Linked DNA regions of Daphnia pulex. The protein of the gene in region 1 purifies or fractionates together with the protein of each later gene. This does not show direct contact. Links are inferred from orthologs where the notes say so. Each region holds a gene or a part of one and is shown on either strand. Other genes may lie near its edges.

What was found.
Region 2: the proteins of nucleolar protein 58-like (region 1) and nuclear fragile X mental retardation-interacting protein 1-like purify together in Homo sapiens (co-immunoprecipitation; 3 studies listed by BioGRID and IntAct, with this or other methods). This does not show direct contact. The link is inferred for Daphnia pulex from reciprocal best matches to the Homo sapiens genes NOP58 and NUFIP1.

The regions. Positions count from the first base shown.
Region 1 is NC_060020.1:6,025,346-6,029,542, reverse strand, and holds nucleolar protein 58-like, read left to right. Parts: upstream 1-1,322; 5' UTR 1,323-1,673; coding exon 1,674-1,718; intron 1,719-1,774; coding exon 1,775-1,851; intron 1,852-1,915; coding exon 1,916-2,094; intron 2,095-2,151; coding exon 2,152-2,345; intron 2,346-2,402; coding exon 2,403-2,690; intron 2,691-2,752; coding exon 2,753-3,517; 3' UTR 3,518-3,607; downstream 3,608-4,197. Other genes in the region: golgin subfamily A member 6-like protein 22, read right to left, coding at 1-40, 108-409, 482-732; cysteine-rich protein 2-binding protein-like, read left to right, coding at 4,127-4,186. UniProt on the Homo sapiens protein: Required for the biogenesis of box C/D snoRNAs such as U3, U8 and U14 snoRNAs. Part of the small subunit (SSU) processome, first precursor of the small eukaryotic ribosomal subunit.
Region 2 is NC_060028.1:9,395,756-9,399,528, reverse strand, and holds nuclear fragile X mental retardation-interacting protein 1-like, read right to left. Parts: upstream 2,345-3,773; 5' UTR 2,220-2,344; coding exon 1,777-2,219; intron 1,723-1,776; coding exon 1,625-1,722; intron 1,563-1,624; coding exon 1,359-1,562; intron 1,267-1,358; coding exon 1,126-1,266; intron 1,075-1,125; coding exon 872-1,074; intron 812-871; coding exon 629-811; 3' UTR 588-628; downstream 1-587. Other genes in the region: 6-phosphofructo-2-kinase/fructose-2,6-bisphosphatase 1-like, read right to left, coding at 3,418-3,477, 3,553-3,773. UniProt on the Homo sapiens protein: Binds RNA.

The sequences.
Region 1 (4,197 bases):
TGAAGCGGTTCCTCTTTGAACGGAATCTTGAATCTGGCATCTGAAAGGAAAATAGGAAAATGGGTATACTACACTGCCAGACACAACATTGAACACTGGTGCATTACTTTTCACAGAATAATAATCAGGAGCTGTCAGAGATGTGGCAGCTTTTGGTCCTGAGTTGTTTTCTGACATCGTTTGATTGTATGACTTGTATGATTGCCAGTTATCAGTCTCTTTACTGTCTGAAGAGTCACTATCACCCTTCTTTTGATTCTGTCGCCACTTGAGGTTGTACTGTTTCCGCTTCTCTCTTCTTTGCTCTGGTGTCAGCTTGTCCCACCATTTTTTACATTGTTCTTGGTGTTTCCTGCTAATCTCCCCAAATCTCTCAGCTTCATTGATTCTCATTTTTTCCTTCCACATCCTGAAAAATTAAAATAGAAAGCCAACATTGATAATTGTTAATCATAAGGCATGCAAATTTGTGAGAAAGTACCTGGTCCTTTCACGCTGCATTTCTCTATATTCTGCACTTTTAGCCACATCAGTTTTGAGTTTTTCTCTCCATCTTTTTTGGTGTTCACGAGCTTTAGCACGTTGTTCATCTGATGTTATTTTAGTTGCACATCGTCGAATATTACTAGCTACAGAAGGAGATCGGTGAATTTCGGGCGAAACACTATTGTGCATAGAATTACGAGCTGCCACAAAAGGATGCAACCGCGATATGAAGCGATTGTTGTCCATTTCACAAGTTGTTTTTTTAAATAAGTTGAGCCTAAGAGCGTGAACTCTCAATCATGAATTTGAACAAAAACCTCGTTCTAATCAGAGGCCGAGAGGAAAAACTATTGCTTGGAAAACAAAATAGACTTTTCTTATGTGAAAGTTCCTCACTGACACAATTGTGTTTCTTGTGTTTACTAGAAAAAATAGGAGGATTGGAAAGGAGAGAAGCTACAGTGTTGCCACTGTCATTATTTATTTTACTTTTCTCCTTTCTTTGTTTTCTCTAAATTCCTAATCAACTGCTAGCTACCAGTTTATTCTACAAATATTAAAATACAAAATAATGTACGAAAGCTTTAAGAAATGGTTAATATCGCTTGTGTTTTATTTTTATGGGTTAAATTTTTGTGAAGTTTTTATATTTGTGTCGCTACTCGCTAGTCGTTTGTGCAAAGTGCAATGTCGTTAATACTTCGTTAATACTTCAAACACAATGAGCCGGAATTTACACATCTTTAAGAAATTATATAAAAGTTGACAATCTACACAATACACATTTAGAAAACTAACTTAAAAAAGAGTAGTGCCGAAGATGAAAATGTTGAATTGCCTCAATGCTTGAGGCGATGTCCTACATATGGAACATTGCCCTGCATTGCCTCTCTCTAGACTTTAGATCATAACGTTTTATATATTGAGGGACAAACAAATATTTTTAAAATAATATCTTAATTTTTGAATAAATTTCTTTAAATAAAGCAGCTTTGATTTCAATTGCGAGTATGGTCATTTTCATGGTTGCTGATTAGTAGTAAAAATTTGTCATGGCAAACCGGCAACGTTTCAAGACTCGTGTAAGTCTGCATGAAACTCATTTTCTCACTGCATTTCTGACTATTCAGACCACGTGTGCCCGGTTATCTTAAAGAAGCTATTAAGAGGTCCACGTTTTAAGAAAAATGCTTGTCTTATTTGAAACTCCAGCAGGCTATGCTGTGTTTAAGGTAAATTTATTTTATATTTTCGTGTGTACGATTAATTCAAATATTTTTGTTTATAGCTGTTAGATGAAAAGAAACTTCAGCAGACTGACAATCTTTTCCAAGATTTTCAGACACCTGAAGGTGCAAGCAAAGTGTAAGTAACCACTACACAACTGTAATTTTTTTTAGTGCTGGGTTAATAACTATTGGTTCTTTAGGGTAAAATTGAAGCATTTTAAAAAATTTACTGACACCACAGAAGCTTTGTCTGCCACAACTGCCGCTATTGAAGGCAAACTATCCAAGACCCTTCGTAAGACGTTAAAATCTCTCTTTGCAGAGGAGGCTCATGAAGCCTTAGCTGTTGCTGATGCTAAACTTGGTTCAGCTATTAAAGGTAACTGACATTAAATAATTGCTTATAGGACAATTAATAACTTTATTTTTCTAATAGAAAAATTACAGATAAACTGTCTGTCAAACTCTGCAATTCAAGAGCTTATGAGATGTATCCGAAGCCAAGCAGACAGTCTCATGGGAGGACTCCCCAAGCAAGAAATGATGGCCATGGCTCTGGGCTTAGCCCACAGCCTGTCGAGATACAAGCTGAAGTTCAGCCCAGACAAAATTGATACAATGATTGTTCAAGTATGATTTCATTGTTATGACTTTGTAACAAAAATTACTAACTACTTTTTCTTACAGGCTGTTTCTCTGTTGGATGACTTGGACAAAGAATTGAACAATTACGTGATGCGCTGCCGTGAGTGGTACGGCTGGCACTTCCCTGAAATGGGAAAAATCGTTACGGATAACTTGGCCTTCGTCCGAACAGTCCAAAAAATGGGAATTCGAACTAACGCTGCAACTACAGATCTTTCAGAAATTCTTCCGGAAGACGTCGAGGAAAAGGTCAAGGAAGCTGCGGAAATATCGATGGGAACAGAAATTGCAGAGGAAGATATTTTGAATATTTCACATTTGTGTGAACAGGTATTGTTATAATTTTAACAGTTGTAAACAGGTTGTTAACTTATCGTTTTCTGTGTGCAAAGGTTACCGAAATCACTGAATACCGCAGTCAACTGTACGAATATTTGAAGAGCAGAATGCTTGCCATCGCTCCGAATTTAACAGTTTTAGTTGGCGAACTTGTTGGTGCCCGACTCATCTCTCACGCTGGGTCTTTAATGAATTTGGCCAAACATCCTGCTTCAACTGTTCAAATTCTTGGTGCAGAGAAAGCTCTTTTCCGCGCCCTTAAAACTAAACACGATACGCCTAAATACGGTCTTATTTATCATGCTCAACTTGTTGGCCAGTCGTCAACCAAGCTGAAAGGAAAAGTTTCGCGTATGCTTGCTGCTAAAGCTGCTCTTGCTTGCCGTGTCGACGCATTGGGAGATGATGTTAATTCAGACCTCGGTACCGAACATCGTGCCAAACTCGAATCCCGTCTCCGAGTTCTTGAACAAGGGGGCATCACGCGCATTTCAGGCACAGGCAGACAGAGTGGTAAATTTGACGTTTATCAGAACAAGAGTGAGGTAAGGCAATACGACGCGGCTGCAGACTCTACACTTGCCACTAAACGCAAGGGAGACGAATCCGGAACTCCAGCAACCCCAAAACGCATTAAGGTCGAGACGAAGGAAGAACCGGCTGAAGCTGCTGAAGAAGTTGTTGAGAAGAAAGACAAGAAGAAGAAAAAGAAATCAAAGGCAGAGGATGTCGAGGAGCCACCCGTGGCTGCTGAAGCTGAAGAGGCTGCTGGAACTGTTGAAAAAAAGAAGAAGAAGAAGAAAAAGTCTGCCGAATGAAAAAGTTACAGCAACAATATTTTTTTTTATTCTCTGTATCGTGAGAAGCACGTTTTTGTTGGATTTAATACATCCGCGACATTTATCAAATTGTTTGTGCAGCCTCATTATCTTTCCTAAGACAGTTCAGCATAGCGCAGATATATTTACTGTTTTGTATATTTTTAAAGCATTGGTAGAAAATTTCGTTTGGTTGTACTATTTTAGTGATTCCATTAAATATTTAGAGGACTCTTCTCAGACAAACTGACAATTTAACGTTATTTCTAAAACAATTTCAAATTAAAAAAATCACTACTCTATTTTGTGATGGGAACTTAGGTTTTTTGAAGAAAAAAAAAATCCGATGAACGATTGTTATCTTCAATCGATTGATAATATTTTGAAATTGTCGTCTGCTTCGAACCCACGAGTAACAACACGAAAGTCTTAAGTCTTGGCAACTTGTAATGGTAAACAGCTACTACAAAGTACAAACTGCAGACTAGATGAATATTATACAATGATTCCTTGAATAAATGTCGAAATACGACTTTAGTGTGACCCCATATTCCGATATTTAGACGAAATCTTTTCAAATATTGCAACAAGTACATCAAGTGAAACGTAATGCCACGAGGAAGAAAGCGAGGAAGTCGAGGAGGAGGAAGAGGCAGAGGTAGACCACCGGTAAGCCAATC
Region 2 (3,773 bases), on another chromosome or scaffold:
AGTACAAACACAGAAGCAAACGTAACATCCGACATTAGGCAGTGCAACATTGTGGTAGGGCGAAAGTTTACATGGAAATGTCTAGTAAACTTAGACTTACCTAAACTGATCATTCCAATTGGAAATGGCGAAGAATCTGGTTGCGAAGTCGGTGTAGTTACAAGTCGGAATGTAATTTAACGACACCTGACATCAAAACGCGACACCATCACCAGGACTTGTACGACAAGTAACATTTGCGGCGTCTCTCCTCTGGTTTTGTCATTCTTTGATTTGATAGTATCGAGCCGTTATTTTCTTCTTTCTCTTTAGAAACTTATTCGTTAACGTTCGTTTGAAATTCCTAATAAACAAGGCTGGTATTTCTGTAAGCTTGTTGTCAATGCCCCCCCCCCTCTCTTGTTAACCAGCACTTCTGTGGTAGTGGTCTCAAAATTTTTGTTCCTGCAATCAATCAATCCGATGGCAAATAGAAAAAGAAACCAAACAGTGCCGGCCCGTGCTAAGAACAAGCTTACATGATAAAAAAGACGACGAAAGCTAATGCGTTCTTCTAACAGAAATATAAAAAAAGTTTTAACACACCATTCAGCTTTCGATATATTCAAGGCGGTGAGAACCTACAAACTTACAACTCAATTTTAACTAACGGATTATTTGTTTGAGAGGAAGATGTGTCTTTCACTTCCGCCGCAACTGTTATTGTACGTGGCATGTTTCCTTCATCAAAGCCGAAGAAATTCTGTTGGACAATGTAATGCACGCATTGGAGGATAACGTTACGTTCATGTAAAATTTCCCCTTGCAATAGCTGTAAAAATACATTTTTTTAGGGAAACAATTTAAATTAAACTTTAAAATAGAACAAGACCTTTTGCAAAAGTGTCAGTCTTTTAGGACGAATGAGTTCTTTAATCGCAGGAACATCTGGTATGTTTTTTTGTGCTTTCGCCTTCTTTCGACGTTTGGCTTGTTTAGATGGTTTAGTTAAATGTTCTGCCTTTTCTTTTTCAACATTTTTTACATTCTTTTCACTTTCTTCTGAAACCAATTTTGGTTTCTTAGCATCTAAAACTTCAGAAAATATAAGTGTGGGTATGGATATTATGGCATAGTGTTTTTTACCTGCTCCTTCTTCTTCAGAATCGGAAGCATAGGTCATCAAATGAGCTAGGGCATTGCTACCAGGAATTGCCGCGGCTTTCGCCTTTTCTCCTTCGTTATCCGAATCTAATTCGCCATCACTAAGTTCCTTTTTTACTTGTACTAAAAAGCAAAGAGATTGAAATTAAAGAAGAAAATAATTAATAAAAAGTTTCATGAGAGTATAACTTTTATGAGTATAAATAAATTCAGACCCATTGTTGCTTCGTGAGTTTTTGTGGTGTTGAATGACTTTGTTTCATTTGCTAGAAGAAGCTTTTGTGAAAATTCTGATATAACTTGCTGAGTATCACATCTAGTTTCATCTGTTTCTTGTCTCTTGTTTTTCTTGTTTTGATTTCTTCTTGCATCCCATCCTTTTCCTTTCTCACCTTGCCCTCTTTCATTTCTACCCTTGGCTACAAAAAAGGATTTATTAATTATTTTTATTCAAGAATAAAAGTATTTTATCACACCATACCAAATCTTTTTTTAGGTTCATAAAGGACTTCTCCTCTTTCTAACTTTTCTTTCTGTTCAGCCTGTCGTCGTGCAACATTAGCAGTTGAGGGAAATCGACTAAATAAAAACCATTAAAATCACATTACACAATTAATAAACATTGAGTACTACTTCTTTCTTTCCTCCCTCCACTTTTGTATCTCTTCTGGCGTGTTGAGTCTCATAATTTGATCAGCAAGGCCTGTTTCATGCTGCATTTGAATGTGCTTCTCCACGATTTTAGGATGGGCTACAAACGGACAGCCATTTATTCCACAAGGAATGTGTTCAGCTATATGAGAATCCAAAAGTTCTTGAGATCTAAATGAGCGGTCACATCGATCACATGAGAATGATTGATATTGTGAGCTTTGAAAACCGTTCTTTTGGAAACCAAAATTGGTGTGTTTCGTATCGTTAAGTTGCGTTCTTGTCACGCTGACACTGCTATATTGAGGTTGAGGTGCTTGTGGTAATCCAGGCCCAGGATTTAAAGATTGATTCTTTGGTGAAGAAAGGTGAGTAAAACTCGGTTTGGGAACTGCTCCAAAAGCAAATGGATTGGGTAAAGCCATTTTACAATGTTCAACTTCCAGGAGACTTAATGTTCTTTTAAATTTTAATACTAAACTTTAATCGTGGACGTGGACTTTTGAAGGTGAGGCGAATCACCAACCACATGACTGAATGGCAATAACAAACGAAATATTCGTCTGCAAGCATGCAACATTGCAACACTTTCAAATATTTCCTCACACACCAACGGGCAGCGGCCGGCAAGCGCAAGCCGCAGTCGGCACTCGGCAGTCGGCACTAAGAAACTCTGCGTCTCTGCCAAAGTTTTATTTAACGCAAAAAATTACATTTCAAATACATTAAACTTTTTTAATTGTAAAAAGAGATAAGCACTCTTTGCAGCTCTTTGTGATTCCCTCAGTCATTATTTTCATTATTGGCTGCAACATCAGGCCATTTGGAATATTTCCAATCTATGCGTCAATGCAACTAAAATGACCCATATTACAAAAATAACTTCGTCATTAATAGTCAAGGTTATTGAAATATTAAGGCTGCAAGAAGCTTTAAAAAGGTTTGGGTTTTTGGGACTACCTCGTTGTATTTTTTTTGAAATACGAATTAATTTAACCATATAAAATTTCATCCTCTTGTAGTATTGTAAATATTAAGAAATGAAAAGAAATAATTGTATCGTATTTAAAATAAATTAAATATTCCTCGAGCACATGATTTAAAAAGATCAACAATATTATTTTTCTAAACAAATTCCTAAGTGAACTCAAAGACCCTGACATTTGGGTTGGTTACGAACGGAACCGTGGTCGTCGGCAAGTCTTTAAAAATAAAATTGGAACTGGCGAGTACGTGGTAAAAGAATTTCTTATTTTGCCTTGTTCTTGGACCAGTTTTAAAAATAGTCTAATAGATCGGCAGCAATTAAAAAGGCAGATTTTAAGGAAACAGGCAGGTTCTGGGCTGATTTTTAAAGCCATTTAACCAGAGTTGTATTCTCTTTTGCATATTTATAAAAGAAACAAAAAGAATCCCCGAATATACTTTTAAGTTATTGAAGCACTCAGTACATTATGCGAATATAATCACAGATATATATATATGTATAAAAAATGGTTATAATATGGAAAATAATCAAGGATGAGAGAAATCGACCGTACAGGCGAAACCCCATCGATTAAAACAAATCTGCGCCAGAGAATCGTGCAAAACAAATTCCTTCCATGCCTGAAACATATTGCATTAGAAATGGGCAGGAACTGTAACACAGGCCTCCTCAGCCGTTCGTGTGAGACTGCAATTCTAAATATTATAGAAGGGTTTTGTCGAATTGATTAGTCTTCAAACAAAAGAACTAGACCGTGAAAGAAATGTTACCTCGGGTTTGGCTCTGTGCGTTTCGACACATTCGATGCTCAGCGGGATAAGGTCCAGATGGCAACCGCCATCGGCAGGTTTAAACGACAGTCGCATCACTGTATGGAGTGGTGTATGGATGTAGGGCAGTTCTTTTTCATCTTTTTTGAGCAAGGCTGCCAAAAGGCAGCGCAGAACTGCTTGGTGTGCGATCACCAGAACATTGTTTTCGACCTTCAGCC